4 linked regions of the Arabidopsis thaliana genome follow. The main gene of each other region encodes a partner of the protein of the gene in region 4 in a complex. Each region holds a gene or a part of one and is shown on either strand. Other genes may lie near its edges. The genes, in order: emb2394, RPL4, AT1G29070 and AT4G01310.

Region 1 (7,739 bases), on a different chromosome or scaffold from region 4:
ACATTCTGTAAGCCCTGGTGTGAAAATCTACCAGGTTACTCGAATTATAGCGTACTTACTATGAGAGAAGAACATTGTTGAGAAGCTAAACCTGTAACAGTGAAGAGGAGAAGGAAAATAAGGTTTAAAAGGTAAACTCGGGCTCTAGTGTTAAGAACTGGGAAACTAACCAGAAGATGGTAATGAGTTGACGCCTAGGAGGGCCACGGAATTCTTGGTTGAAGCGGTGTTCGAGAATCCAGACCATGGCTCCCACAAAGAGAAAGAAGCCTCCAGTGACAGCCCACATCTCTATAGTGAATGGTTTCAGGAATGACCAAGGACTAGACTTGGCCTCCTTAACCGGAGCCACCACCACAAGCCCTGATTCTATAAACGGTTGTGTGAAATCTACATATCTTGTTCTGTTTGTGACGATTGTGATATCTCCTACAGCTACATCAAAATTCTGAAGAGGAAACATGAGAAAAGACAGGTTAGCATCTTCTGAAAGTTGTGAACTTGATTGAGTAATGTAGCTACTCACATCCGCAACAACTTCATTGACGAGGTTATCATAAGAAGGATTTCTCTTCCCGTCTCCATATAGTATATAAGTACGTGGAACAGGATATGGAAGCAATTCAATAGCGGCTTCAAAGACATCAATGCAGTAGCCTCTAACGCCAGGCGGGTTTTTATCCTTAGAAACGTAATCTGTATAGCTCACACGGTTAGGCACCCCGATTCTGAGCGGTTTTCCATTATTAGGAAACACCCAACCACGAGGAGGCTTAGTTACTTCTCCTGGATATATGATTCCTTTAAGACGCTGGTTTGCTGTAGATGTGTTTGGAGGCCTAGAGTACAAGGTCTCTGGATGGACCACAGAGAGACCCGAATGATTTGACCAGTACCCGACTGTGCGTGGAGCTGTACCTTCTAAGTTTAGAACTTCATAAGCCGGATTAACCCGGTTTCTATCTGAATCAAACTGGATTGGACCCGTCACACCAGTATGATTCATCCCAAGAATGATCTTCATAAACTTCTCTCCTTCATTGAAAACACTTAGTGCTGATAGCTGAATAGTGCTACCATTTGTTTTGTGCAGATTTGGATCGTTGGAGAAAGTTATGTTATTGTTTTCTCTGAAGAAAACATCGAGGGCACGAGCAACTAACCAAACAGAATCATAAGCATACATCGCATAAGAGTTAAAGCCATCATTTGGTCTAAGATTCTTCCATCTCGCCATAAACTGTCTTTTGACACTACTCTCGATTGTGTAGTGGCGAAAAGCAACCACTCCTTGCAAGAGATCCATCGTGTCTGAATCCACGTGCTCCATGGAATCCATAGCTGTAGGAAGCCAGTCTGTTGCGATCCAAACATAACCACTTGCCATCATTCCAAGAGATTTAGCCACAGAAAAAACGTTTAAACCAGAGTCAGGATTCACATGGACAACAAAAACCCGAGATTCCATCAGATTAACAGAAACCAACAAGTCTCTGATGGAGCTAGAATCTGCACCAGGAGTAATTGCAGCCTTGTAAGAGATCCTCGAGCGTTTCTTGGCTAATACATCGCCAAGGACAGATATCCCGTTCCTGCCACACTCATCATCAACGAATATCGCAATGACTTGTCTCCATCCGGAATATGATAGAAAATCTGCGATCGCATGCATTTGGAAGTAATCATTCTGCGTGGTGCGGAGGAAATAAGGAAATTGCAGAGAGGAGAGAGTCGGATCCGTTGCTCCAAATGACAAGAGAGGTACATGAAGCTCATTAGCTACATAGGAGATCATGTGAGCAATCCCTGAAGATTGTGGACCAATGGCTGCAACCACTTTGTTTTCCATCAGCTGCAAAGCTACACCATAAGATGAAACATAATCATCACTCATTCTTTGGGGGCATTTTCACAAACTAGTTCTGAGTTAAAAAGTTGGCCACAGTAGTAAGAGAGAAGAAGAAGGAGAAGCAGTATATATACCTCCCATGGTGCCGATAAATCCACTGCAATTTGAGTCTTGAAAGATGATATTAAGCTTGATGCCCTTAAGAACACTTTGGTCAGCATTAACATCATCCATAGCTGCTTTAACCGCGGGTTTAGCCGCTCTTCCGATAAAAGAATCATAAGTAAACAGAGCTCCAACATTCACAGAGCTTGGCCTCTGTCTTAATGGCCGCAAAGAAGAAGAAGAAGAAGAAGACGAGTTTCTAGAGAAATTACTTCTACAAGCACATTCCTTTGGAACAACCCACAAGACAGAAACACATAACAACACAACTCTGATTGCTTTCGCCATGGAAACTTCTCTTATCATCACCAAAAATCCCATCTTTATCACAATTTCCAGCAAAAGCACTAGTTTTTCTTTGTCCTGGTCTCATATAACCATTTGATTTATTTGGAGTAACACCTGCGAAATAAACAATGCCCAACCTGAATCAAAATTGAGATTATAACAAAAGACAAAAAAGATGGTCCAGAAATCTGGTGAAAGAAGGCAAAACCAACCAAGAAATCGGGAGTTAGATTCTGTAGAGAGATTGGTGTATACAGATTTTTGTGTCTGTATATTTATTTATAGTGTATAAAATAATGTATTTATATGAGGCCCTTTGATTCTAGAAACTGGTGCTTTACATGTGCAAGTAAGAACTGAAAATAATGAAGTGTAAGAGGGCCGTCTTAAAGATGGTTCGCAGAGAAAGAAGCAAAAAGTGTAATAAATAATTCAATGAACAAATAACTAAAGATTATATATGTAAGAACATAAAGAAAAACAAAAATTAAAAGATCCAATTGAGAAAAAGAAGAAGCAACCTTGGAATAAATACGAGAAACAAACTTTAATCAGAGATCCATAATCTTCACAAGTAAACGAGTGATTTAGCACTAAGCATAAAGAAGAAAGACAGAGAAAAGAAGTCGAAGAAGCAGAAGAAGAACTGTTTCTGAGCTCAAGCAAAGAATAATTCATAATATTCTCTCTCCTTTTTTTTCCCTATTTTCTTCCTTATCATTACTTATTTTTTTGGTATTTTATGAAATTTTGTAAATTTTGTTTTGGAGTGCTATTTCTGGAGTGGTCAGTGAAGACGTAGGCCAAGGTGTGGGGTAGTATGATCGATGCTTTACTTGTGTCCTCATACTATTCGATAAATCAAATTTTTACGTTGGCTCTTATTGGTAACTATCATTTATTAAGGTAGTTGATGCATTTTTCTTTTTGGTTACAACGGATATAGTTAAATGGTAATTAGGGTAACTACGTATGACATGAGGCAAAATAATAATTGAAAATGTGAATGTGAGGAGTGACGACCTAATTGCTCCAAGGCCGCCTTCGTCAAAGAATAAGTCTCCTCAACGGTTGTCAAATCAATTTCACACAAAAAAAAAAGAAAAGAAAAAGATATTTTCAGACATAAATAGTAAAGTAATTGTACTATTGATTTCATATGATAAAAGGTGCATGAAACACATGGTCGACTATTTTTTGTCTTTAGAGTGTTCATTAAGGAATGTTATTAAAAAAAACTTATAAGAGCTGCATTTGTTATTACATAGTTCCTTATTGAAATTTTCATTTGTTAATTGTTAACACAAAATAAAATATGCCACTGAATCCACAAATATCTTGTCGGTATCGAACTTTTTATTTATTTAGAACAAGAATATCTTGACCAAATGAAATGTGAACCAGGAAAATAAATATACAGTTCATCTTTTTTTTCTTTGAATCTTCTCAATTTGTTGTTTGGATTTTTCTGAGGGTAAGGGCCCATTTCATTTTTAAATTTGTCTGTTAAGAGTAGTTTAAAATCCATGCCTTTAAAAGATTCGACTTGAAAACATACTTAATCGGGAAAGATGCACAATTTTGATCCAAACGCATCTACTAATAATCTATTGACTTCATTAATCTAATCCAAACTCCACGTTCATTGGGTAAATTTTGTGAACAGTTATTATAATAATGGGCCTAGAAACAGTGAGATAATAGGCCATGATCAATATAGATAAATGGGTTACACAAATAATGAATTGTCCCACAGAAGGATGGTTAAAAGTAATGGGCCGAAAATAGTGAGCTAATGGGCCGTGAAAGTAATGATTTGAAAGAGGGGATTACAGAAGCTGACGATGGATAAGTCTTTTCTGGATAAAACGCTCTTCTTCTTCTCTTCATCCTCCTTCTGGAGCAGAGCTTAGAGCTCCATCATCAAATCTTATCAATGGCTTCCTCACTCGTCTCATCTTTTCAACCCAGGTACTTTTCATATACTACAAACCATAGAGCTTCTTCATTCCGCTAGGGTTTCGTTTTCTTTACTTGGCATTTTCTACTCAAAAATCTCTATAAACTGTGTTCATGAGCCTCCCAAGTATAAGGAATCTCTTTGAATGGGTTATTTTTATCTTTTTAAATCGATGGCAATGTTGAATTGGTTATGGACTCTTGAAATTGTGGATTTTTATTTTGGGAATTTGAATGTGTTATGCGGAACTCACTGTGTAAAAAGCAGGATTCTAGAGGGGTTTTTAGCCATGGAAACTGAAAGTTCTACAAGAATGTTTCTCTTCCTTAATCTAACGTTATCTTTGTTCCAATAACAGTTTCTGTGTATTGGTTTAGATATATATCTGGTAGAGTTTTACTTTCTTGACATGTTTTATCTGAAGATAGATAGATAACTTCCCCTTTGTTTTAGGTCAGCATTTTTGGGAGATAGAAATGTGTTCAAGGTCTCAAGCACACCTTTTGCTCAAGTGGGTTACTCCAGTAAGACCATTGAGTGCAAAGAATCAAGGATAGGAAAGCAACCGATCGCTGTACCTTCCAATGTAACCATTGCATTGGAAGGTCAAGACTTGAAAGTGAAGGGTCCATTAGGAGAGCTGGCTTTAACTTACCCACGCGAAGTTGAGCTTACAAAGGAAGAATCCGGTTTCTTAAGGGTCAAAAAAACCGTCGAAACTAGAAGAGCCAACCAAATGCACGGCCTTTTCAGGTTACAAACTTCTCATCTTTTCTTGTCATCCAATGAAGTCCTTAACTTTTTTGAGGTTAAAAGATCGTTTGTTCTCTAATCTTTTTTTTTAACTTCTGTGTGACTTTTAGGACGCTTACCGATAACATGGTTGTGGGAGTATCAAAGGGATTTGAGAAAAAGCTTATACTTGTGGGTGTTGGTTATCGTGCAACAGTAGACGGAAAGGAGCTGGTGCTAAATCTCGGGTTTTCACACCCGGTGAAGATGCAGATACCGGATAGTCTGAAAGTGAAAGTGGAAGAGAACACAAGAATCACTGTGAGTGGATACGACAAGAGCGAAATCGGGCAGTTTGCTGCAACGGTTAGGAAGTGGAGGCCACCAGAGCCATACAAGGGGAAAGGAGTCAAGTATTCCGATGAGATAGTTCGGAGGAAGGAAGGAAAAGCTGGAAAGAAGAAATGATCTTCATTTTTCATTATTATCTACTTACTTATCTCTTCCTTTCAATGTTTATGTGTATTTGCTCAAATTTGTTTAGAAATGAAGATGTTTGTGTTGGGATTCTTGAGTAAGTTTTTAAAGGAACCCATTAATTGTTTTTGATGCTCTGACAAAAATTTCTTTAGTGCTTTGATTGAACAAGAACTTGGGCACAAAGTGCCTCATCGGTGTGATTCTATTGTTATGTTTCCTTATTGAACCAAACCAATCCAAATCGGACAAAAATCATGGTAGATAAACTTTTTAAAACAATTTTTTAATCTATTCTTCTTTTTTTTAATTACAAATTTTCTTATTTTCTTATATCTAAAAAATCGTAACAGTAAGATATTAATATCTGTATTCTTAATTTGGTAGATAACTTTTTAAAAAACGAAAATTTCCTATAAGAATAATAATAGTCGGAAATAAAACAAAAAACAATATCATGGTGATTATTCTTATTTGCTTATATCTTCTTCTTTTTCACAATTTTTTTTTAAAAAAAATATTTACAAAATTTTCTTATTTGCTTATATATATAAAAAATCAGTAAGATATTAATATCGATTTTTTAATTTGGTAGATAACTTTTTTCAAACGATAAATTTCCTAAAAACAATAAAATATTCGGAAATAAACAAAAACCCTGATTGAAGAAAAGTCTTTTTGTTTATCAGTTCACCGGAGGCAAAAATCGTCTCTCGCTTGAGCTGCGAAGATGCAAGCAGTAAAAAGATCCAGGAGACATGTTGAAGAAGAGCCAACAATGGTAGAACCTAAAACCAAGTACGATCGTCAGCTCAGGTATACATACTCTTTTTCCTTAAACTCTACTTCGAACTACTCTTGTCGGGAGGAAAATTGATGAAGTAGTAATCGTTGGGTTGACTGATTAGGATTTGGGGGGAGGTAGGTCAAGCGGCCTTGGAAGAAGCGAGTATCTGTTTACTCAATTGTGGCCCTACTGGTTCCGAGGCTTTGAAGAATCTCGTACTTGGTGGTGTTGGTAGCATCACCGTTGTTGATGGATCTAAGGTTCAATTTGGTGACCTTGGGAACAATTTCATGGGTACTGACTAATTTTGAAACTTTTTGATTGTGTTTCTTCTGGGGGTTTTGGGGGACTTGCTTGCGTTATGATGATTTTTTTTTTTCATGTGAAGTCGATGCGAAGAGTGTTGGCCAATCAAAAGCCAAATCTGTTTGTGCGTTTCTCCAAGAGCTTAATGATTCTGTTAACGCCAAGTTTATTGAGGAGAATCCAGACACGTTGATTACTACTAACCCATCTTTCTTCTCTCAGTTCACTCTCGTTATAGCCACTCAGGTACCATTGTTTTTCTATTTGTAATCTTCTCTAATGATTTGTGTGTTACAATTTTTCAAAGTTCTAATCTTTGCTTACACAGTCACTCACCATGGATCATGATACCTTCTATTCAATGTTCTTTAGTTAGTTTCTCATATGTACTTTTCCTCGTCCTCTTCACGGGATATTGCTTTATTAGGCTTCTTTTTCCTGTGTTATTGTTATTTAAGTTCGTTATTTCATCCCCTTTTCGACATTGATTGGTTGCAGCTGGTGGAAGATTCAATGTTGAAACTTGATAGAATCTGTCGAGATGCAAACGTTAAGTTGGTTTTGGTTCGCTCTTATGGCCTTGCTGGGTTTGTTCGCATCTCTGTAAAGGTAATTAATACCACCTGTCTAGACCCAATTTGTGATAAAGTTTAGATTACTTTGTGGTATGCCGTGGTTAGGATATTGGCCAATGAGAATATATGCTAAGCTCTCTTCTTTTCTTTTTTATCAGGAGCACCCCATAATTGACTCAAAACCTGATCATTTTCTTGACGACCTCCGCCTGAATAATCCATGGCCTGAACTCAAGAGGTCCACTGCTCTCATATCCTCTCACTTTATGTTGTTCTGGCATCCTTTAACATTATGGTTGTGGATGGACGACTGAGTACTTACTGATATTCTTAATTATTTAATGAACGGCAGTTTTGTGGAGACCATTGATCTGAATGTATCAGAGCCGGCCGCTGCACATAAGCACATACCTTACGTCGTCATTCTTGTAAAGATGGCTGAGGAGTGGGCTCAATCCCATAGTGGTAATCTTCCCTCAACCAGGGAAGAGAAAAAAGAGTTTAAGGTTTAGTTCTTTTTTGTAACTTATAAAATTTATTAGCGAGCTTGCTTTCTTGTTTTAATTATCTATATCCTTGAATTCTTAGGATTTGGTTAAG
Region 2 (7,728 bases), on a different chromosome or scaffold from region 4:
TTCATCTCATCAGTCAAGTTTTGGACACGTTCCTGTCATAACGGTACAAGGAATATATTCAAATTCAACATTTTGAGAAACACATTGCAAGTAGCAATCATATTTCCATAAAACCTGACAAGAACAAGAACTATATAACCTCTTCTCTTCTCGAAATAACTTCATTGATGTGAGGAACTGTTGACTCTTCATGTATATAGAATCCTTTGTCTGAATTTTCCAGTGGAAAGCGTCCGGATTTTGAGCTCTCTTCTTCCTCAGATCTTCCGTTGATATCAGTACCATCAGACAGACCCTCAACTTGTTTGGCTACATAAGTTTCTGGAGAGACCTTAGAAATCGTTTCATTTAAATCTTTATCAACTTTCTCCACTGGTAACATTTGAGTTTCTTCAGTTCTATCCACAATGCTCTCCTCACCACTAAATCCCGTCTCCTTCCCAATGTCTGATTCGTTGACAATACGTGATTTTTCTTCATCAGAAGAATTATTCCCATCAACTGTAGTGGGAGGTGATCCAATTTCAGAAACCTCAACTTGAAGATCAGATTCTACAGATAACTTATGACCTTTTTTTGAGCTATAACCAAAATGCTCCACGTATCTTTGCCTTTCCGCTGCTAAAGAACTCGAAAGCGAACCAGTGTTTCTAGGAACTAAACCAACTAAAGGGTTTTCAACACGAAGATCACCATTTCCTTTCCCAGAAGTTCCAGAAAAATATGCTTGATTTGAGACATCAGAATTCATTTCCCTGTCTTCAGGAGAAAGCAATGAGTTTGAATCACTAACAACAATCTCTGTCATGTGTTCTGACTCCATATCATTTACTTCTCCTCTTGTTAGATCTTTTCCTTTCATTACAGGATGTTTCTCCCCAACCAATCCATCATTGCTACCTACATGAGCAAGGATCAGAATTGTAGAACTTAGAATCATTTACTTTGTAAGCTACAACATTTTTCAGAATGACAAGAGGATGTACCTTGTTGTGGTATTGACTTCTTTTTCCACGGTTCCCATTTCGTGTCAAGCTGATTGTCCAATGGAAAGACTCTGCGACAAAAGCTTTCATGGCGGCAGAAGAAGATATCATTAGGGTTGGCTGCAAACTCTTGCTGAAAACTATCTCCTGAGAGGTTAGGCTTCTCTTCTTGTGGATCATAAGGAATATCAAAAGGGTTTTTAGTTGGTAATAACACAGAAGGTGCAGATTCAGGCATTTGAAGACCATCAACTATATAGTTTTCTTGATCCAAACCGAAATAGTTCCGTCCAACACAGACTGGAGGAACTTCCATATCCATTAAGCTACTCTCAGCGGCAAGTCGGACTAATCTCCTCATTCTTCTTCTAGTAATCAAATGCTCTAACCTCTTGTTACGTTCCATCTCAGAGTTTCCTAAATCCATCAAATTCTTTTGATCATCCTCTGTCCAAGCTACAATCTTTTTGTCTTCACGTGTAGTTTCTTCTTCTTCTTCGCCTTCTGATGACGATGAACACTCGATCTCGGTTTCGCCACCACCACTAGTCAACCTCTCCGATGGATCCACAACGGAAACATTCCCGGTGGTTGAAAGAGTTTCTTCATCTAAGCTAGGCTCAAAGGAGAAACCTTCAGACACAAGAAAGGCTCCATCTTTCTTGAATTTCTGAAGTTTGGGAGATTTTGCAGTATTGGGAATTTCACCATAGAGAGTTGTTAAAATGACTCTGTCTCTCTCATCTTCACTAGCCTGAGAAGAGTCCCAATCTTTCCCAACCTCTTCAACTTTCCTTCTAGCGTTTCGTCGAACACTTCGTTGGTGCTTTAAGTCAGCCTTCCTTGTTTCTTCCTCCTCAGATCTCTTTTGGGAAAATGGTGAAAACCAATTATCCGTTTTGATATGCAAAAGCTTAAAACTTGGATGATTCCGAAGATAAAACACAGAGCATGCGATTAACGGAGAAGAGTAAAGGACGAAATAAAAAAGGCGTGGAAGAAAAATGTATAGGAGGAAGATAATTGCAGAAACACCAGAAACAACTGGGTGATTCCTTACGTTTCTATAAACGATGTTCGTGGAAAATCTGAGAATTTTCCAGAACAGAGTTCCGACATCTTTGGCATCGATTCCCATGTTTTAAACAGTTCAAATTCTCAGAACACTTTGAGAGATAATAACCCAAAGCATTCTGTCTATGGCGGTTTGTGTTTTGTCCTAGAGAATCAAAATGCTTGAAAGGGAAAAACAAATATGGTTTAATTGAAGAAGCGAAAATTGATCAATAAGAGAGAGGTCAAGCTTTCATTTGAAACAATAACCAGTCAATAAAAAATAGATTTTTCAAGGGTTTTTTTAGATTTTCGTTTTGGTTCTTTTTCAGTTTTCAGAACACACGGTAAGGACGGAGAAGACAAAATAGAAAACTGGTAAGAGAGGGCGGGAGTTAAATTAGTTGCTTTCTTACACATGTTTCCAAAGATTCTTGTTTTCTTACACTTTTAACCACATTTTTTACTGGTTCAGAAATTGACCCTTAAAGTTCATGGATTTTGCATCTCATATCTCTTTCTTCAAAAGATTGGGCTATCTTCTTAAGCCCACCAAGACCCATCAAATGTCTGTAAATAACATACACTATTGACACTTCCTAAGTTTTCTAGCTAATCCTTTTTTTTAGCAAGTTGTTAACAGATTTGTGTGAGACTATTCATGATTTTCAAAACCAAGATGAACATCAACGCTTAAAGCTTATAATAGCCACTCTTTCTTGTTAACTTGATGACTAAAGTCAATCTTTGTTGCTCAATCTTAACTGATACACACACAATCAACGTTACTCATGATATCTAATTTCACTCCTTACTCCTTCATTGAGAGTTGGACACAAAATCAGTATGACAAGAAATTGAGGATGATCTCTTAAGAAAAACTCTAAAAGTAAATACACATTTCTCTTGTTGTGACACAAAAAGGAAAGAGAAGACCTCATCAAGGAGAGTGAGAAGATGTACTCAAGATTAAACTCATAATTAAGCCACACTTGAAGCAATTGGAACTACGGGTGCTACTCATTCTTAAGCTTCCTCTGACCCTTCATAACACAAACAAATAATTACTTTTCCATATTAACACATCATATTTCTACCTCTTCAAGAAATTAAAACCAGACAAAAACGATCAAACACAACATTCAAAACATCAAATTTCGACAACAAGCCAGTTCCTTTCAAGAAAACACTAACCTTCCGTCTCATCTTCATCGTCATCTTCTTCCTCCACCGCATCAACACCGTACCTCGCATTCAAGAACTCCACAGCCGCAGGAGTCAGAACAAGCTTATCAGCGTTCAAAATATCAAACAGATTCAGTGTCCTAGGCGTCAACATCCTCAAGGTTCCAATGTTCCTACTCGATTTCGCCACATTCTCATCCACATCAATCATCAAGAACATAGCTTTCTCCTTGGGATCCAATCCCCACCTTTGCATCGCAGCTAAGAAATCTTTAGTCTTGGGCTTCTCAAACTTCTCCCCAAATTCCTCCACCACTATCGCACCACCTTCCGCAGATGCCGCACTCGATAACGCCGTAGATATCGCTAGCTTCTTCTCCTTCCTATTGATTTTAATTGACCAATCCTTAGGTCTTGGCCCAAACACCACACCTCCACCGGGACGTAACGGTGTTCTCTGAGATCCACGCCTCGCGTGGCCAGTTTTCTTCTGTGAGTAAGGTTTAATTCCACCACCACGAACTTCACCGCGAGTCAGTGTGGAAGCAGTACCTCGCCGCTTGTTATTCAGGTCCGTCACGATGGCTCGGTGCACAACGGCACGCGCGGTATCCTCCGGCGCCGCTTTGAGGTCTAGATACGTCTCTCCGACCTTCTCTCCTTCGAATGATAGAATCGGTAGAGTCGCTAGCTGGGAAGAGACAGAAAGCGGCTTCGAGACTCTGCCGGAGCCGAGTTTTGAAACGGAAATGTAGGTTTTAGGGATTTGGTGAGAGGAGGATAAAAAGAGAGAAGATGAGAAGAAAGATAGCGAATTTGGTGCTGTTGCAGAAGAAGCCATTGTTGTTCCCTGACCTGACCTATCACAACGAAGAAGAAGAAGAAAGACTGAGAAAGTGTTATCCACTCTTCAAATGCCTATCTTGTGCTTGGTGAGAATTTATGCATCTGTTTGGACATAAGGATATAACTATCCTGTTCATGAATAACTCCAGCTGTCGCTAGTAAGAAAGAGTCAAACTCCAAAAGTCAAAAGCCTCTTATATAGCCAGCAGGTTTTTTGAGACATAAAACTCTGTGATAAAACGATGATAGTTGATGATAGCTGAGACTTTGATACAGATATTTGAGATACGAGCGCACGTTAGCTAAGACCACCGCGTAAGCCACCGTCTCGTCTTGAAACGCACCGTATTCATGACTTCGTCGGAGCCACTCGACCTGGTTGTCACCGTCGTCTCTGCCAAGCACCTGAAGAATGTCAACTGGCGTAACGGTGACCTGAAACCCTACGTTGTTCTGTATCTTGACCAAGACCACCCTCTCTCCACCCGCTCCGATGATTCCTCCTCCATCAAACCGGTGTGGAACGAGCGGATTACTCTTCCTCTCACCCGATCTGTCCACGAATCGGTCCTCAACATCGAGGTTTTTCATTCCAATTCTTCGGATCTGGCGAAAACCCTCGTCGGATCGGTTAGGTTTCCTCTAGCTCGTTTGATTGACTCGGACGGGTCAATGATTCCGGAATTGATCAACTCGCTCGAGCTGGTTCGTCCATCGGGTCGACCACAGGGGAAGATTCGTTTGAAGCTCGCGATCAAAGACAGACCAATCCCTCCACCGCAGCATCCTCCGCCACGTCCTCAATCTCAACCACTAGATTACTATTCTGCCCCTCAAGGAAACCATTATTACTCCCCTAGCCCTCCTCCTCCTCCTCCTCCTCAAGCACCGATCACCGCTCCATCTCCTCAGCGTGACTACAGAGAATTCTCACAGTCACCGTCTCCGTCTCCTTACGCATTCACTGATCACTACTATTCCGGGTATTATTATCCGCCTCCTCCACCACGTTCAATGTACGATCGTGCCTCCAATTACGGCCTCCCAAGTGGCCCATCTGCTCCCGTTGATGCCTTCTCATCGATTGATCACAAGCAGCCTCCTTTAGCTCCTCCTCGGTTTTCTAACTACGGTCCACCGCCTAGTGGGCCCTCAGCACCCGTTGATGCCTTTCTGGTTACCGAGTACAAGCCACAAGCTCCACCTATGGGCTCGCGATTGTCTAGCTACGGAGTGCCTAATGGTCCATCGGCACCAGTCGATTACTCTCCTTATGATCACAGGCAGTTGCAGAAGACGATGGGTGGATTGAGCTTAGAGGAAGAGAGAGCTGCTGCAGAGAGGTCTGAGAGTGATTTCGGAGCTAGGCCAAACTACAGCTATGGCCGTGATTATCGCCGTGAATGTTGAGGATGGCAAAAAGTTGTTGAATTTCACAAGTGTGCGGCGTTTCTAAGGCTTTACTTATCATCAGATTTGTTGGTGTTAGAACACCAGGAAATGGCTGATGACAAAATATGAATTTGGTGAAGTATATGTTATGTCTATATGTATGTCTCGTTTGTGAATTGATTTGTTGCTTCTTTCTAGCTGATATTCGGTGTTACCCCTTCTGTACCTTTGTACATGTTTCTAAAACATCTCTCATTTCTTTCCTTCATTCAGTTTCTTGAATCAAGCTATTGGGTTCTTAGGGTTAATGTTCTAATGTGAATCACTTTACTGTTGATTTATTGTTTGAACCATGCTCTGATTAGGTATGGTAGTATGCTCTGTCTCAGACATGAACAGTCCTATATCCTGCGATTCTGCCGAATATTTTTGCAGGCTGGTTAAAGACTTTGGTTCTTATTTCATGTTTGATGATACCAATGTGTGATTTTCGTTTGGAACCAGTGATCTCCATATTCATTGAGCGTTTGGATTAATGTGTCTTGAATCATGCTCATCACAGTGCAGAAAAGATGTTCTCTCTGATCGTTTTGGGTAAAATGGTATGTACACGGTTGGTGCTAAGTCTATTGTGCTCTTGTTATAACGATGAGACAGAGCAGTTTTGCTATTGCATTCTTTTCCCTTTTGGCATTTTGGTAACCTGCTATACATATCAGTCAATCTCATGCTATTTGCATCTAATCACTGACAATCATGCAGGTATTATTGTTCTGTTCTCAATGGAATGTTTTCACATGTAAAATCACTCTATTCTCCAGATTGTGTGATCTTCTATTTATGTCCTGACACTCCCTGGTTTATTATATGCTTTCTCATATTCTTGTACCCACCATTAACTTGTTTTTTTGTTCTTTCCTTGATCCCTCCTTTTTATTGTAGCCGCAGACTCATGAAAGGAATCTGCATCCATAAAGGTAAGATTATATTGGCCTCTCCTGGAGTCAAAAAGAAACTTTTTTAGATTGTTATGTAACTTATGTGCACACATGAGTGATCATCAAAGAAGAATGATACCAAATGGTTGCTTAACCTTTTTCTTCACTTAAACAAAGGGTTTATTCCCTCTGTGGACCGTAAAGAAAAATAGAAAAAACTAAACCTAGTCTTCTCTTTTTGCTCTTGGGCATAGTTCTCTTTATAAATTTGTAGATCCACTTTAACTACAAGTCTTTTTATATATAGGGTCTAAAATAAGATTGAAGTTACACTTTTTTGTTAGTTGTTTATTTGTTTATGTCTTGAGTGCTTAATCATGGCCTAAGCGTAATGATGTTATAGATAATATACATCATTAATCATTTCATGTCTTTTCCCGTATTTGCCTGAACTATCAGCACAACTGTTCTCAGCACCAGTCCGTTAAATATCTCTCATTATCCTCATATTGTTTCCCATAAACTTCTCTCACTCTCTCTATCTTTCTCTTGATATGTCAGCTACTGGTATAAAACGGTCCAACCTCAACACTAGACCGGTTCAGAGAGATGCTTCGGCTAAGCAAACAGCTATCAAGGGACCTTATGGTAAGAGTCCGGGATGCACAACAAGCTGCGGATTAAGGTTACCGAGGAAAACAGAAGTGACAGCAGCAAAATTGATCAAGCATCTTGGATGCAAATTTGCAAAAGGTTTGCGTCTGGTGGTGATGAGGAAGAAGAAAAGATCTCCACCGTCGAAGGTTTCTTCTTTTTCTGGGAGGTCTCAGCCACCAATCATCCCAATAAACAATGACAGTCATCGATCAGAGGCCATAGAAGACTGCATACAGTTCATCAACTCATCATCCTCCTTCACCAGATCAAACTCTACTTCTTAAGTGTTATCATTCCCAAACCTTTTGTCTCGGTCGCTCGCTCGCTCGCGTATTGTCTATTTTACTTATTCGTGAGAGTTGCATGTAAATAATGTCTACATAAATCTATTATGTGACTTCTGTTGTTGTAGTACGAGTAACTGTCTTCCATCTTTCTCAATTTCTGTCTATAAATATTAGATTTTGATATTCGTATTTGTTCATGATTAGTTACAAGGATAAGCCACTTCTGTTTTATCAATAAACGAATTTCCTCTTTCTATAATACATATTTTTCTGAGATGTTCCTATAATTAAAATGTTCGTGTGTGACTTATTTTATCATTTTATTAATTATGTAGTAAAAATGCTTTAGTTTAAAAAGTAAATTTAAAATAGTTTATCCAAGAA
Region 3 (7,853 bases), on a different chromosome or scaffold from region 4:
TACTTGCCAAATCCGTGTACGTCGTTGTGTCTGTAATACGTACACAGCGTCCGAAACTTCCTTTTTCAGCTTCAAATTTCCAACCTTCTTCTTTGTATATCCACTCACCAACCATAATTAATACAGGTAACTCCATACCTGCAACATAAATTCCTCAGGTCAGAACAACATTAAATACAAAAGATATTTTTGAAGGCTTTCATTTATATCAACGAAGACAAAAAGAATCTCTAACAAAACAATTTATGTACTTATAAATTTAACAAAACAGATCATAGAGCTTTCATTTATATCTACAAATACAAAAAGAATCTCCAACAAAACAATTTATGAACCCAGAAATTTTTAAAAACGTATCATTACTTTCATATCACGTTCTCAAGTGTAATTAATAGGATTAACACGAATTTCTTACCCAGAACACAGATTGTCTCTCCTTCAATCCTTCAAACTTTGTAAAACAGCAACTGAAAACTTCAGATTCTTCACCGTAACACAATTTCGATTTTCGTTTTTTTCTCAGAATTCTAATCTCAATTATGTAAATATCTTACAATATAATCTCTATTATAATAGGTAATCATGAGTTTTAGTTTTGTCAAAACTTTTTAGCATGAAAAACTTCTGAGCCCAACCAATTTTTAAAATTTTTAATTTCAATCTCAAGTGTCAAATTCGCCGAAACCTAGAAAACATTTAATGCATTTCTCGTCGATGAACAGTGTACGTACAAATCCGGTTCTCTTGGATTCCAACGACGCGGTCCGTACGTACAAACCGGGTTCAGTTTCGTCAGGGGCATTTTGATCAGTTTTTGGCTGAATGGCTAAGAAATGAAAGGCCCAGCCCACAATGTCAAAATCTAAAATTAAAAGTGAGTCAACGGCTACTGTGCGCAATTTACCCTTTTTTTTAAACATCTTTTTAGGTGACTTTCACATCATGTGTCAGATAACTCTTATTTATAATGTAAATTTGAAATAATAATATTATTATATATTAGAAACTATCATATGAATATATAGACTATATATAATTTCCAACGGTTATGAGAAACCGTTTTCTCTTAAAATGCAATCCCCAAGGACAAGTTTGTTGGCGTGTCGGGATAACCAACAATCTGTTGGATTTGATCACTTTTGGATAATCTGTTTTTGGTGGGTTTTCTTTTCTCTTCATTCGATGGAATGTGTGTCACTAGTCTGGTTGCACTTTTCATCAGTTTTAAAGTGCATTTTGGTGGTTGGATAAGTTTGGAAAAATTACAGATATTTTCCATGTAATATGATGGATAGAATTCACTATATAAAAAAAAAAAAAATCGCGTGTTTGGACTTTAGCTGAGTTTAGTTGTGTTTTGCTCAATGTAAACATATATCAACCATTTCACGAACATCAATATGCAATAGAAATGGAATTCTCATGCCATCTCGTCCTAAGATCCTACTCACGGCTTTTACTAGCTACTAGCTAGTCCATCACATCATACACCTTTTAAACATAATAACGTATGTGAATTATGTTATGACCGGAGACTTTCCTTCCTATGAAGAGTTTGATGAGTAGAGGAGTGACACGGATCGAATATTTGATAAATAGCTCATTCATCTAGATAGGTTTAAAACTTTAGACTATTACATTGTAGACAAAAAAAAAAAAAAAAAAAAAAAAGGATACAGAGGCCTTTTATCGGCCCACCTTAAAAAAAGAGAGCTACAGAGGCCTTTTATAGACCCACTTTAAAAAACAAAGATATATGAATTTGAGATAAGAAACCTTATTTCAAACAAGAGAATAGTTTATTTTGTCCCACATCGTTTAGGTAGAGATAGTGATGGTAGTAACATGCCTATAAAAAAGAAAGAGCTAATTACGTAAAAGGCATGATCCTTCAGGCAAGTTAAAGGGGATATGATGAATGGTAAAAACTCGCTTATATTGCGAGAAGAGCGTTCCGCCCAAAGCCTGTTACGACTATTGGGCGCTCTCTTTTTTACACAATCTGATCCCTCCCTAATTTCCAATAAGAAGGAACTTTTCTTTTTTAGTTTTGGTTTCATTTTTCTTAACTAGTTTGTTTTTGGTGCAGTTTTCTTTTTAAGGGGAATATAATTTAGGGTTAGTACTTAAAAGTAATTGTTAGGTTGAAATAAAACTAGTAAATGAAAGTAAAATCCTTCAGGGATTGAACCCCAAACTATATACATCAACTTTCAGCAACCATTAACACTACTTGGAATCTGAACAATTCTTACACACCAGAATTATCCTGGTGGCCAGAAGAGATCTTTAAGTAATTATGGCTTTGAAGTTGAGACTTCGAGTAGTAACAAATTCAATGAAGCAAGTAGTATAGTAGTACATGTGATGAATTCCAAGAACATTGATTTATAAACGAATCAAGGATGCAAGAGAGTTAAAACGCAGAAAAGAGCTCAACGAACCATGTTTCTCATTGTATCTTCTGGTGGAAAAAAAGCACATGAAACAAGATTACAGATAGAGTGAAGAGAGAAACAAACTTCAAGCCCGTTTGCCGCTGCTAGGGTTGGACTTGGGACAGAGGTTCCAACGTCCCTTGGCACGTCGACGCTTTATGGTTGCTCTACCGCTAGTGGTCCTCATCCTTCTACGGAAACCATGAGTCCTAGCTAGAGATTTTCTTGATCTGCTTCTCTTAGTTTGACACAGAGCAGCTTTTCCAGCTCTAACCACAAGGCCTCTGCGTCTCTGGCCATTCAGTCCACTAGTTTGACTGCTGAGATCAAACGCAATGGACAAACCTGAAAAGACAGCAACACCATTTTGATCAATGTGACATTATAGGTTTGATAGTGTATCAAGCTGATAATATTGGAACCGGTAAACTCCTTCCTTTAATTACCCAAAGAACTCACCATACAATACCAAACTCTCAACACACTGCTCAGAATCAAGACCCAGACAAATCCAAAATGACTTTAATGCATTCTCCTAGGTTACCCTTTTAACTCTTGAGCTATAACCATAACGTCTGTTGCTAAATTGGCAAAGCTTATAATTCACTGCTCAAATCTTAGCCTAGCTACAATGGTCGTACAATATACTTTACAAGAAAATTATGATCAAAGGAGGAGGAACAAGTTCATGTGACATATTGAAGCAAATCTATAACCATTGTACCTAAATAATCGACATGAGCTAAAAGATTTTTGTACTAAAAATCAAACAACATTTACTTGCGGCTACAAATACATGAGCTAAGATATCAGAAATTGAGGCTTAAGTTGCAAAATGTTATCTTCACTTGTTGTTATAAACTTAACAAGAAATATCAGAAACAAACAAAATGGCTTCTTTCACTCACACTCCCAAATCGAATTCACCATTGACAACTATGTTTCACAATTCCCAAATTCTTCTAAAAAAGCTTCGAATATATGTGTTTGCAAAGTAAGCTAGAGCCTAACACACGAGAATAGTGATAAATCAACCAAACCCAAAGAACCAGAAAAAAAAATCAAAATTGGGTAAAAGAACTTGATACATTACATCACCAGAAGCTAAACACAAACAATAATTCGAACCAATTTAAGATGTACCAGAAAATGGAGACGCTAGGGAAACAGGCGACGAGAGAAACGAGCAATGAAGCAATTGCGAAGAAGCGGAAGAAGTGAGAGAGGACGAACTCCGTCTACAACCCGTACGCAGAGAAAGCGAAGCAGAAGGAACGCAAATCTTGCCGTTGGAGGCAGCAGGATTCCATAAACGCGACGAAGCCGAAGCTACAACGGAAGTGGATAAGGAAGCCATTCAAGTTCCCACTTCTTATCTCCAAACCCAGTTCCTTTGTTTCTCCGGTCTCCTTTACATAGTGTGGAACCTCTATCGTCTACGGACGATACCACCATAAACTTACGCATAAGAACCAACCATAATAATACACGTATCACGACACTTCAGCCCATAAGACTATAAAAGCCCAATACTGAATTGGACCGGACGGGTAATTAATCAAGTTAAGGCCAGATTTGAACTGGTCTAAAATATCTCATGCTGTTGTTCTGTGATACAATTTTGCTTCATGTAAACTGTTAAAAACAGGCACTCTATATAACAGGTAACGAGAAGAACCACAAAATGTTTGTAATCTAGAGGATATTTTCTACAACTTATCCAACATTCATCAAGGGTTTTTTTTTGGGGGGTAACACAAGTATGCCATGAGTCTCTCTATCTATCTTTTGAACATCTTGGACCACATGTAGAGGATAAAGAAGAGGAGGAGCGCGAAAAGAACTACGTGCATTATGTGGTTGTTACCACTACGGATTATGCTTAGGTTCAGTTTCCTTATGTTGTTCTTCACCCCTGCTTGCGCTCTGATCAATGTCATTTGCTGTCACAAACAAAAACAAAATACCATTGAAGCGTTTTATGTTTCAGACAAGAACAACATTTCGTCTACTTATTTTATTTTGCTTATAACAGCACTAAATGCTTGTTTCTGCAGTCTCACTACCAAATCTAGTTGTTTGTCATTATCTTCTCTAGGATGTTCTTCTAGGTAACAAAAGAAAAAACTAGAACGAACTAAAAGCAATGAACACATTCAACACCAACATTCTCATTGACAAAGTGGCAGGAACTCAATGATAAGCTGTAACCATTTCCTGCTGCATTTCACCAAACTAGGTGAGATTGAAGATATCTAATCCTACCCACCACCAGCGTTCAGACCAGATCCTAAGTAAACATAATCTACACTTTGGATTTATCAAGATTCATTGGTTTTGTAAGCTACGGTTAAAGTTATCTAACATATGTTAGGATGAAACTATATTTTCCCAACTAATAATGAACAGAGACATCTGAAACAAGTTATAGGAAACCGATATTCGGATATACTATATATAATCAGTGATTCATCTTAAAGGTAAAGAAGAGTAAATGAATGCATGTTACTGATGTTAAGTGCTTACATTGCAATTTACTATGATGGATAAAGAAAAAACTAAAGGGACATCAACAACATACCAGTTCATCTAAGAAGTCCCTCTGAGACTTTGCTTCTGACCCAATTTCTTGAGCAATCTGCATCAAAATAAGCGATCAACGATATAACAAAAAATCATGAGGGATAAATAATGCGCAAAAGTGCAAGGTAAAACACAAGGAATTGTAGAGAATGTCGACTGATTCCTTCAAGAAGGGTGGTGATATAAAACAATAACCACAGATGTATACAAAAGACATCAGACAAGTGGATTCAACTAATTAATCGTGGACTGACTGATAAGTATTGTGAACAATAACATTATCATAGTACCCTGAACAAAAAAACACCTACACAACTAATTAACCAAGCTCTAACCACTGTCAAAACCGAAAAGAAGACAAATTTCCAAATTCATATGATCAACTTAAAGCTTAAAGAGAACAATGATCCTTCAGAACCACAAGAAGACAATACAAATGGCACTATAGATAAAAAGTAGAAAGATCGAAATGGGATTTAGAGGGTTTCTTACATTTTTCAATTGCCTGACTTGGCCATGGAGACCTAGAATCTCATCATCCAGGTCAGAGTGCATAGGATCAATCCTCAGCTGAATTTCCTCTGAACCTGAAGCATTTCTAGTGCTTAGCCCTTCTCTACAAATCACACACCAAAGATAAATACTTGTACTTTACGCAGAATTCACCAAATCTAGGACCCGTTTTCTCTATCCAGAATCGATTTCAGAAAAGGAGAAACTGATAATATTAGAAATATACCTAGATCTATACGGATCAGCTCCGCCGTATAGAGAACCACCCGCACCGCGATTGGACGCCATCGACGCGAAATCTAATGGGTGTAAGAAACCCTAAATTCGAATCTGCTGGGGTTTGAGAAATTAAGTTTTGTATTCTCTCAGAAAATTCGAGATCGAGAAATTGCAACCAAAAGAAGAGAACAAATTTCAGGCAAATCAAAGAGAAAAACGACGACGATTGAAACAAGCTGGGCGGGTGCTCTTCGATTCAATGATAAATGACCGCGAGGGAACACGTGGCGTTTTAATATTGGTTGATTATCGTCATGTTTTTGAGTTATGTAAACAAATAAAGAATGGCAGTTTTGAAATATTCGTCAGCCAATATTTTTTGGTTTATGGGCTTTTTTAACGGGCCGATCCCAACTTTAGTGGACCACAAATTCATTCGTTCATAATGATGTCATTGAAAAAGAGAGGTATTTACTCTGTTCGTTCTACATTCGTTGTATTGTAAGCATCAACGATACCCAATTACACAAGAAAAATGTTGTTTTTTCATGATGGTGTTGTTATTTTCTAATTGTTGTTAACGAAGAGTAAAGATAATAGAATCGTGTTTGCATTGTAGTCGTTAGTTTATCCATCGGTATTTATTTTTAATTTTTTAGTCTTTTTTTAATATATTAATTTTTAGTGATTGTTAACCAACTGTTTTATAAACGTTAACGATATGTAGGCTAAATTTTCTGAATTAGCAACAATGTAACAAGCATGATTTTATCGCTGAAAGGTATTGTTGAACCAACAAACTACAAAACAAACATAATTTCATCATTTGTCACTGTTGTGTATCACTGATGAAAGCCAAACAAACATATCCTAGTTTTGGTTACAATATCTCAGTGTTGATATGATAGATGATGGTAAGCGGTAACTCAATTTTCACATAAAGTAGTGGTCTTGACTTGTTGTTTCTAGTTGGTTGGGGCTAGGTGTCATTGCAATCGTTTTGACATTTTAGTAGGATCAAAGAGGTCCAGTCCAACGAATTTGAGGTCTAGTACAGAAAATGAAAATTTTGAGCTTTAATTAACATTTTTATTGAAAATAAATATTAATTGGAAAATTTCTATTTTTTTCAAAAACTTGGACTTTTATTCTGTTTTATTGAAATATTGTCTGAATTTTTAAAAAGAAATGAGCGTTTGTCTTTTGTACTTATCTAACAAATGGTTTATGTCTTGTGTCATTCATACTTTTGTCCTCTCTATTTTGATCTGGTATGACGTTAAAGTGTTATCCATTATTCATACGGTCCATGTTGCATTGGACTATATATCTACTAGTCAAATTCAAACATTTGACCTTCCACCAGATCCTATCGTAATTTTTACGTGAGTTGTAGTCCTTTTTTGTTTCCTGAAAGCAGAATTATTGTACCCATCTTTTTAACAATGGTAAGAAGATTTACGAAAAATGGTTCAATGAAACGTTCAAAAACTGTGAACAGAAATTGATTTGCTAATGTAGTTCGGAAAAGGAGAAAATGGAAAGTTGGAGAATTTATATATTAAAAAAAAAAAAAAAAGTTGGAGAATGTTATTAAATCATCGCAAAAACTTGTTAAATCACTGATACAAATATTGGAGAATTTTACATTTTCCTTTCTGCATTATAAGCTTATGGTTATGGCTATCTTTGTGAGTAAATAAACATCTTTTTAATTATTATTTTTTTCATTTATATATTCGAAATTAACTAGATGAGGGATTTAGTAAACAGAAAGAAGAGTTGACATCATGTAAAATCGACCGACAGGTTCATAATGATGTCATTGAAAAAGAGAGGTATTGTCATATATGGTGTCACCGCTAGGTAACAGAGACGTACATTAGCTTATGTTGATGTATTGTCAGTTGGTTAATAAAGCCCACCACTACTTCACAACTTGGTTGACTTTTCGTTTTAGTATTCGATTTGTCATCATTAATTATCTCCCAAGAATTTAGTCCACCGAGTCGTATGCTATATAGAATCCAAAAGATATCAAAAATTTACAAACAAACATTATAATAATACTTTGTACAATTCCTTTAGTTTAGTTCAAGT
Region 4 (7,828 bases):
TATTGAGAAGTTTCAGTCTGCATATGGTGTGATAACCAGTAAATAATAGGCGCCACCAAAGATACATTCAAACACAGCATACATTCAAACAAAACATTTACGAAGAAAAGATAAATTAAAACAAAAGCCACCACACTCAAATTTCAACCCTCACTGATCTGCAGTAAGCGAATGGAAGTGGTAGATAAAGAGACCACAGCCTTGGATCACTTACACCCAATGACGGAGTTATTGAAGGAATTGGCTTTATTTATATTTTCCTAGTTTACTTGATATTCAAGGCAATAAAATTTATTTCCTCTATTCCCAAATTCTCTTACTCGGCACGACTTGCCTTCTATAAGATAGAATAAAAAAAGTATGTTCAAAGCTTGTCACTAGTCAGAAGAACTAGGCGTGCGCTTTTCCTTTTGACTTTACTGTCATGAATTGCAGAGAATCATTCTATCAGGATTTGCATAGTTCTTGTAACATATTCCCCTTTCCAACTATTATCATAAAGCCCCTCTATTTTGATATTTCTTCTGGGATTTTGCTATCCTTAAGACTTTAACAATCAATATGCAAACAAAAATGAAACCTTCATGGAACACAGATATTAGGTATGGATGAGGGTCTCAGAAAGATAGCGACTTACTTGAGGTTTTTCCCCTTGCTTTTTTTCCAAAATTGTGCTTGCAAAACCAGGAGGTACAAGCGGTCTGGGTGCATTACTTTGAGAAGGCAAAGAGGTGTTACTAGAACCAGGAATTGTTGGAGCGTGATTGACTTCATCACTTCTACTTGGACGCCCTTTATCATCTTTGGACTCCCCAAGAAGTTCAGTAAAATCAAAGTCGTTTTTGCGTAAGTCTGGGTTTGATTTTTGTCTCTCCTGGAATGCTTTTTGATGTTCCTTCCTCAACAACTCAAAAGAAGCTGACAGAGAGTTGAGAATGTCAATTAAAGATTGACACAAAAAGAAACGCATGGATTAACTGAAAGAAGTGCACAAATTGGCAGAGAGCTAAGTTTAGTACAGATCAAAGTCAATAGATCCTCTGTACCTCTTCTTTTTCTTTCTTCTTCTGCTCTATCTTCACTAGTAGAATCAGAAGAACCAAATGTTTCATCATTGAATGAATCTCTAGCGTCACGTCTAGTGAAAGGTGGCGCCTACAAATGTACATGAGAGATTTATGAATCTATGCCGTTAAATCATTCAAATACACCTCACAAACCAGCTGATGAAACCCAGTAACGTGATGGAGCAGTATTCAAGAATCAATGGTACCAGAGACTATTCAAGATGACTACAGCAGATATTTGGGTACTTAACCTTGTATGGGCGAGGAGGATGGTAAGGTTCATTGGTTCTACTCAGCTGATGTGAGTCATTAGATTGAGGTCTAGGGGCAGATGTTCCCGCACCAAATCCAGAAGGCTTAGGGAAAGAACCTTTCCCAAGAAGTCCATCATGCTCAGGTGCTTGCCAAGACCTCCGAGATGGCATACCAGAACGCCTTCCAGGCTCTCCTAACAAAATACACAGTTCCAAATCAACTATAATACACCCAAATTCCAGAATTTTTCGAAAAGACCTTCTTTTCATGTTCACTAGACAAGCAGACTTCATGCCATTCACTTTAGTTAAAAAAAGGTGGAAATCTACATTTACGCATATTGAACAGCCAGATGGATAGAGTTGAAATCATAATAATGAACACTTTTTTGCAGAAAGACATAATTCGTAGGAGTATTTTATAGGTCATATATAACAACAAGGTAACTATTCAGAATACTAGTCCACCTTGTTACTGTAGTAACGTCATCATACAGCATGTAAAGAATAGGATACGAGTAAGCTCCGGCTACCTGAGTCCCGGTCTGACTGTGAATCACTATCTTTATCATTCCATCCACCAGAGCGCCCTTCCCATCTTCCATGGGTGCCTCGAGAGTTAGTACCTAATTCCCCCCTGGTGGGAGGCGATGAACTATAGTCATTCCGCCTGAAACCATGCGACGAAAAATCGCCTGAAATTCTTGCTCGCTCGGGTGAAGGATCTTCGAAGTCACTACTCAAATAAAGAGTGTACAAATCAAGACATGTCACTCCAACATGATCAAACACATTTACACAGTTTCTAGAAATCCAAACTAAAAAAAAAACTATCGGATAGAGTCTCACAGCAACAGTGCTTCATCAAATTCACCAGGCAGATTTGGCAGCTTCTTGCAAACGTCTTTCTCGCTCAAGGATATAAGAAACTTCCTCGTGTATGTAATTCTTGGTTTCCTGAAAACAATTGCAACTGCAGCTGAGAAATGTACAATAAGCAGCAAAACAGAGACATGGATTTTACAAAAAACAGAAAAAACATACTTTTCCGAATCATCATTGGTTTCGACAAGTTGATCCATGGCAAATTGTTGTTCATTTGCTATACTCATCATACAATGCACAAAAATCTTAGCTGATTGAGGCCAAAAAACACCAGTATCTCTTCTTAACGCCTTAATCAAGTAACTCTACAGTAGTTGTCTATAGTAAATACCGTGAAATATGATTCTTCGATATTACAGTAACCACCAATAATATCTCAACTAGCAAAACTTAAACCACGATTCACCACCACGCAACTTCATCAGGATCTAGCTATATGTACAGTGAAAGATTTCAGAGAAGAGAAATTACAGCTCAAAGCCAAAGAAAACTAGCTCATCCTAAACTCACAAGGCTTTAATCTCTCGTATCGGATTCTCTCACCCAACCAAAATAAATAAAAACCTCAAATCGGGAAAAGATGAAAACAGATTATAACATTTCTGCAGTAATCTAAGGTCTTCGACAGCTAGGGTTTTTAGCGCTAATGGGGAATTACATGGATTCCAGAATCCATCAGAAAAGGATAATTAGAAAGAAAAAAAAGTAAGAGTCGCCGATTCTAGAAGAACAAAAGGAGAACGGAGAAACCAATTAGGGTTTCGATCTGCAGAAAGATAATTTTGCTGTTGCTGTTTGTTTTGATCGATTGATGATGAAAAAGAGAAGATCGAAACCAAGTCTTACAAAGAAGAGCGATTTCTCTCAAAGGGGAAGGTAAAATTGACAAATCCACGCGCTAGCTTTTCACGTTCACTCACGCGCTACATTTTGTATAATCCACAAAACTTTCAATAAATTACAGAAAAACCTTGATAAATTTTTACCATAACAACAAGATCCCTGATATTATTTTCAAATTGACTCATAAAGCATTACAAAAGGAGATGGTTTTTCTGAAACATGAAATGGTTGGTTACAGAAGACGATACATACAATAGGCAGCTATGTTCATCATCTCTTTCCTTTTCCTTTAGCATCAAAGTGATGAGACTTTAGTTTCTTCTTCCGCACTATCGCGCCTGTGCTGCCACCACCTCCTTCCCTGAAAGGCATTCCCATTAGAGCCAATAGTTTCTGTCCTTCTTGATCGCTTTTAGCCGTTGTGCTGATGCATACATCCATTCCTCTCGTTTTTCCAACGGCATCAAACCTAGAGTGTAATAAACCAACCAACCAACATAGAGTTTAGTTGCTCGGTTGTAAACAAAGAGTGGGACTAAAGAGAAACCATGCTTGATCTTGTTGAACCAGCGGATAACAAGTTAGTAGTTTTGATTTTGAGGGTAGATACAATAGAACTAACCTGATTTCAGGGAATACACCTTGGTCTTTCACACCAATACTGTAGTTTCCGTTCCCATCAAAGCTACTGGGACTCACACCTTGGAAATCTCGAGTTCTCGGAAGGGCTAAGTTGATAAGACGATCCAAGAAGGAGTACATTACCTGTCACAACAGTCAAAATCACAAAATGTTAATACATAAATAACTCAAAAGGAAAGTTTGATTAGTCAAGAGAAATATAGCTCACATCTCCTCTGAGAGTGACAGCAATCCCAAGAGGTTGATCTTCCCTGATCTTGAAAGTAGCAATGGAAGCTCTAGCTCGTGTCTTAATAGGTTTCTGCCCTGTGATAAGCGCGATATCCTTCATCGCAGCCTCCAAACCCTTGTCGTTCTGCGCCGCATCTCCAATACCACAATTCACTACAATCTTCTGTACCTTTGGAACCTGGTAGAGAAGATGTCCAAGCAGATATACAACAATGATGAGATTGACAAATTCACATTCACATTTGTAAATGGCACATCCCAACAGCACGATTTTATCAACACAACAATCTTAAATCTAGGCTTCTTCACTACATTTTCTAGAAGAAATCAATTCAAACTTATCATTAAAAGCAAATTAGGTTTAACATTCGCTCAAAAAATTCGAATTCACTGAGAATTAGACTTCAATCAATCGCAACAGAACAAAAACTAGGTTTGAGCTCAGAGGGGAAGGATTTGGGGTTACCTGGTGAATATTAACGTACTTGAACTCTTCTTTGAGCGCAGGGATAATCCTCTCGAGGTAAGCGGTTTTGAGGCGTTGAGTTTTCTCGGCTTCAGATTTCTCGACCAGTACAGTTCCAGACGCCGAGACTTTCACCACGTTTCTGAGCGGCGGAGAGAGCATTCGTGCGGAGGATGGAGCCGCTAATGGTGAGAAACGTCCGTGAAACGAAGAAGCGGAAGACTGCAGAAGCGAAGGAGACGCCATTGTCGAAGCTCCAAGTGGATAAAGTGTGAAGTGAGAGCTCTCGGCGTTCGTTGTTGATTAAACCCAATGGCACCTTCGTAATTTGTTGACAGTTTGAGGATAAGGAGTTTTCCGTTTAGCCCCTTTAAAACATAATATTTCAACTAAGGCCCCAATATTTGATAATATACTATTATACTTAGAGATTTTAGATAAAATATAGGGGTTGTTTCATATGGGCCTAAATCTCAGCCCGTTTACTATTTGGGCTTCTAAGGTATAACCCGTACCCGTGTTTTTGTTGTTTTACATATCCACACCGACCTGAGAAGAGTCAAAAACGAAAAACCTCTCTTTTGTCGTTCCTCTGCTTTCTTCGATTTGCTTCTGCTTTCTTCGATTTGCTTCTGCTTTCATCGCGGTTCAGGTCACTCTTTTCTCAGCCATGGCGATTCCTTTCATGGAAACCGTCGTGGGTAAGCTTCAAAACCTTTTTCTGAGACATTTTACTATCCTGTTTCACTCATCGTATTTCGTTTTTGTTTGGGTTTTGCTTTCTGTGTTGTGTGTGTTGAGATTCCATGACTCGTTTGTTTCATATACCATCGTCTCTGCTTCTCGTTTCTAAATTTTGTTCTTTTCTAATAGTGCGTACCTTGATCTGAGGTTTTATTACTCCTACTAGTTTCTTGTCTTACTCGTGCGTTTGATTTGATTTGAGCTTATGTGATTTCATCATCTCTTCCTCGGTTTTAGAATGTACGGAGCTTCTCTGTTAACCAAAATCTAGGATTTGGGAAGAAAAGTCGGAGTCTTTTTTTTCCTCATTCCCGATTGGAAATTGAGAATCTTGAAATTTTTCTTTGTTCAAGTCATACAGCTTGAGGTTTTGGGTTTTCTTGTCAGGGTATTATTATGTTCGTGACTGCAACTAGAGTTTTCTGGAGTTTTTTGAAATGGGTTTTGTGTTGTGGAACCGTATGTGAATGTTGCATCAAAACTCTTTCAGTGCTCCAATGTTTCCATCAGTAGTCAGCACAAGAGATCTTTTTATATCTGGTTGATCAAAAAAGTAGATGATGTTATTGAATTTTCAGTGATGGAGTATCTGTTGTTGTGGCATTTAGAGTAGATTCGTATTTCATCTTCTGTTTTATTCTTTTTCTTACAGGTTTTATGATAGTGATGTACATTTTTGAGACGTATTTGGATCTGAGGCAACTCACTGCTCTCAAGCTTCCAACTCTCCCGAAAACCTTGGTTGGTGTAATTAGCCAAGAGAAGTTTGAGAAATCACGAGCATACAGTCTTGACAAAAGGTTTCGTCTTGATCATATTTATATCATTTTAGTTTTTTATAATTGCCAGGGGATATCATCACTGAGAACTTTAATATATGCAGCTATTTTCACTTTGTTCATGAGTTTGTAACTATACTTATGGACTCTGCAATTTTGTTCTTTGGGATCTTGCCTTGGTTTTGGAAGGTACATATCTGGTTTCGGTATACAGTATCTCATTTTGAATATAGAGTTGTTACATTACAATTGTAAAGTTTTCATTTTTACCTTAGATGTCTGGAGCTGTTTTACCGAGGTTGGGCCTTGATCCAGAGAATGAAATACTGCATACTCTTTCATTCTTGGCTGGTGTTATGACATGGTCACAGGTGTTCCAAATAAACCCCTTCATATAGTCCTATACGTTTAGCATCAAAATATCTATTTTCTTAAGATAATAATATTTCTTTTATATTCTGATGCAGATCACTGATTTGCCATTTTCTTTGTACTCAACTTTCGTGATCGAGTCTCGGCATGGGTTCAACAAAGTATGTCGTATTTCCAACACTACCTTGTGACTTACGTTTTTTTATCAGAGATGTGGATTAAATTTGCTTCTAAATTCTGTTGACAGCAAACAATATGGATGTTCATTAGGGACATGATCAAAGGAACATTCCTCTCTGTCATACTAGGCCCACCCATTGTTGCTGCGATAATTTTCATAGTCCAGGTTTGATGATTCTGGATTCATCTTATTTCTGAGTTTTTCACATGGATGACTATTCTCCATTGAGTGTGAGCTTCAAAGTTTTTAGTTTTCGTGTTAAAAATTTAAAATTTGCTTCTCTGAGCATGAAGTTTCTATCTTTTTCCAGAAAGGAGGTCCTTATCTTGCCATCTATCTGTGGGCATTCATGTTTATCCTGTCTCTAGTGATGATGACTATATACCCGGTCTTGATAGCACCGCTCTTCAACAAGTTCACTCCTGTGTGTATTTCTGTCATGGCCATTTTACAATTCACTGCTTGTTTGCATATGTTGTTACCAGACAATATAATCTCCCGCTTTTTTATGGCTATAGCTTCCAGATGGAGACCTCCGGGAGAAGATTGAGAAACTTGCTTCTTCTCTAAAGTTTCCTTTGAAGAAGCTGTTTGTTGTCGATGGATCTACAAGGTCAAGCCATAGCAATGTGAGAAGCTTGAGATCTCTTCCTACCTACTTTACTCTAGTTTACCATTAGAAGCTTACGTATCTTGTTACATCATACAGGCTTACATGTATGGTTTCTTTAAGAACAAAAGGATTGTTCTTTATGATACGTTGATTCAGCAGGTACTGTGACTCTTGATGCTTCAAACGAGCTATACTCACATTTCTGTTTCTGGTTCTGAAACATAACATAATCTTCTATTGTGCAGTGCAAGAATGAGGATGAAATTGTGGCGGTTATTGCACACGAGCTTGGACATTGGAAACTGAATCACACTACATACTCGTTCATTGCAGTTCAAGTGAGGCTCAACCGACAGTTCAAAAACTTACTCACATCTACATTTCACTTAAGAAATCATGTCTTATGACCCTCTCTCAATGTTTTGCTTGCAGATCCTTGCCTTCTTACAATTTGGAGGATACACTCTTGTCAGAAACTCCACTGATCTCTTCAGGAGTTTCGGATTTGATACACAGCCTGTTCTCATTGGTTTGATCATATTTCAGGTTTGTTATTTTTGCCTTTTGACACTAATCTAATGAATCAAGGATGGATTAAGAAAAAAAAACTCTAAACCTTTGGTTATATCTCCTGTCTGATTATCACAGCACACTGTAATACCACTGCAACATCTAGTAAGCTTTGGCCTGAACCTCGTTAGTCGAGCGTTTGAGTTTCAGGTACCATCTTACAATCCCTCAAGATCCAACC

Evidence for each region.
Region 1: AT4G01310 (region 4) and emb2394 share a complex: the UniProt entries of both Arabidopsis thaliana proteins name them as parts of the 50S ribosomal subunit.
Region 2: AT4G01310 (region 4) and RPL4 share a complex: the UniProt entries of both Arabidopsis thaliana proteins name them as parts of the 50S ribosomal subunit.
Region 3: AT4G01310 (region 4) and AT1G29070 share a complex: the UniProt entries of both Arabidopsis thaliana proteins name them as parts of the 50S ribosomal subunit.

Annotation. Positions count from the first base shown.
Region 1 is NC_003070.9:1,500,238-1,507,976, reverse strand, and holds emb2394 (Ribosomal protein L6 family), read left to right. Parts: upstream 1-4,123; 5' UTR 4,124-4,238; coding exon 4,239-4,273; intron 4,274-4,715; coding exon 4,716-5,015; intron 5,016-5,125; coding exon 5,126-5,462; 3' UTR 5,463-5,726; downstream 5,727-7,739. Other genes in the region: GLR3.4 (glutamate receptor 3.4), read right to left, coding at 60-91, 171-448, 527-1,860, 1,984-2,335; AXR1 (NAD(P)-binding Rossmann-fold superfamily protein), read left to right, coding at 6,202-6,287, 6,380-6,552, 6,647-6,810, 7,063-7,173, 7,298-7,377, 7,492-7,645, 7,728-7,739. UniProt on the Arabidopsis thaliana protein: This protein binds directly to 23S ribosomal RNA and is located at the aminoacyl-tRNA binding site of the peptidyltransferase center.
Region 2 is NC_003070.9:2,245,527-2,253,254, reverse strand, and holds RPL4 (ribosomal protein L4), read right to left. Parts: upstream 4,289-7,728; 5' UTR 4,066-4,288; coding exon 3,234-4,065; coding exon of another isoform or gene 3,229-3,233; exon of another isoform or gene 3,083-3,228; coding exon 3,066-3,082; 3' UTR 2,726-3,065; downstream 1-2,725. Other genes in the region: AT1G07330 (dentin sialophosphoprotein), read right to left, coding at 1-32, 140-900, 987-2,124; AT1G07310 (Calcium-dependent lipid-binding (CaLB domain) family protein), read left to right, coding at 4,422-5,480; AT1G07300 (josephin protein-like protein), read left to right, coding at 6,250-6,439, 6,962-7,341. UniProt on the Arabidopsis thaliana protein: This protein binds directly and specifically to 23S rRNA. May play a role in plastid transcriptional regulation.
Region 3 is NC_003070.9:10,145,826-10,153,678, reverse strand, and holds AT1G29070 (Ribosomal protein L34), read right to left. Parts: upstream 3,889-7,853; 5' UTR 3,796-3,888; coding exon 3,582-3,795; intron 2,784-3,581; coding exon 2,524-2,783; 3' UTR 2,272-2,523; downstream 1-2,271. Other genes in the region: AT1G29060 (Target SNARE coiled-coil domain protein), read right to left, coding at 4,220-4,381, 5,020-5,076, 5,514-5,637, 5,761-5,822. UniProt on the Arabidopsis thaliana protein: This protein binds directly to 23S ribosomal RNA.
Region 4 is NC_003075.7:540,847-548,674, forward strand, and holds AT4G01310 (Ribosomal L5P family protein), read right to left. Parts: upstream 4,721-7,828; 5' UTR 4,635-4,720; coding exon 4,389-4,634; intron 4,101-4,388; coding exon 3,900-4,100; intron 3,815-3,899; coding exon 3,672-3,814; intron 3,519-3,671; coding exon 3,320-3,518; 3' UTR 3,065-3,319; downstream 1-3,064. Other genes in the region: AT4G01290 (chorismate synthase), read right to left, coding at 1-17, 638-918, 1,047-1,155, 1,319-1,515, 1,855-2,057, 2,171-2,278, 2,366-2,436; ATSTE24 (Peptidase family M48 family protein), read left to right, coding at 5,059-5,089, 5,785-5,932, 6,016-6,100, 6,187-6,282, 6,379-6,444, 6,531-6,629, 6,775-6,888, 6,983-7,093 and 4 more. UniProt on the Arabidopsis thaliana protein: Binds 5S rRNA, forms part of the central protuberance of the 50S subunit.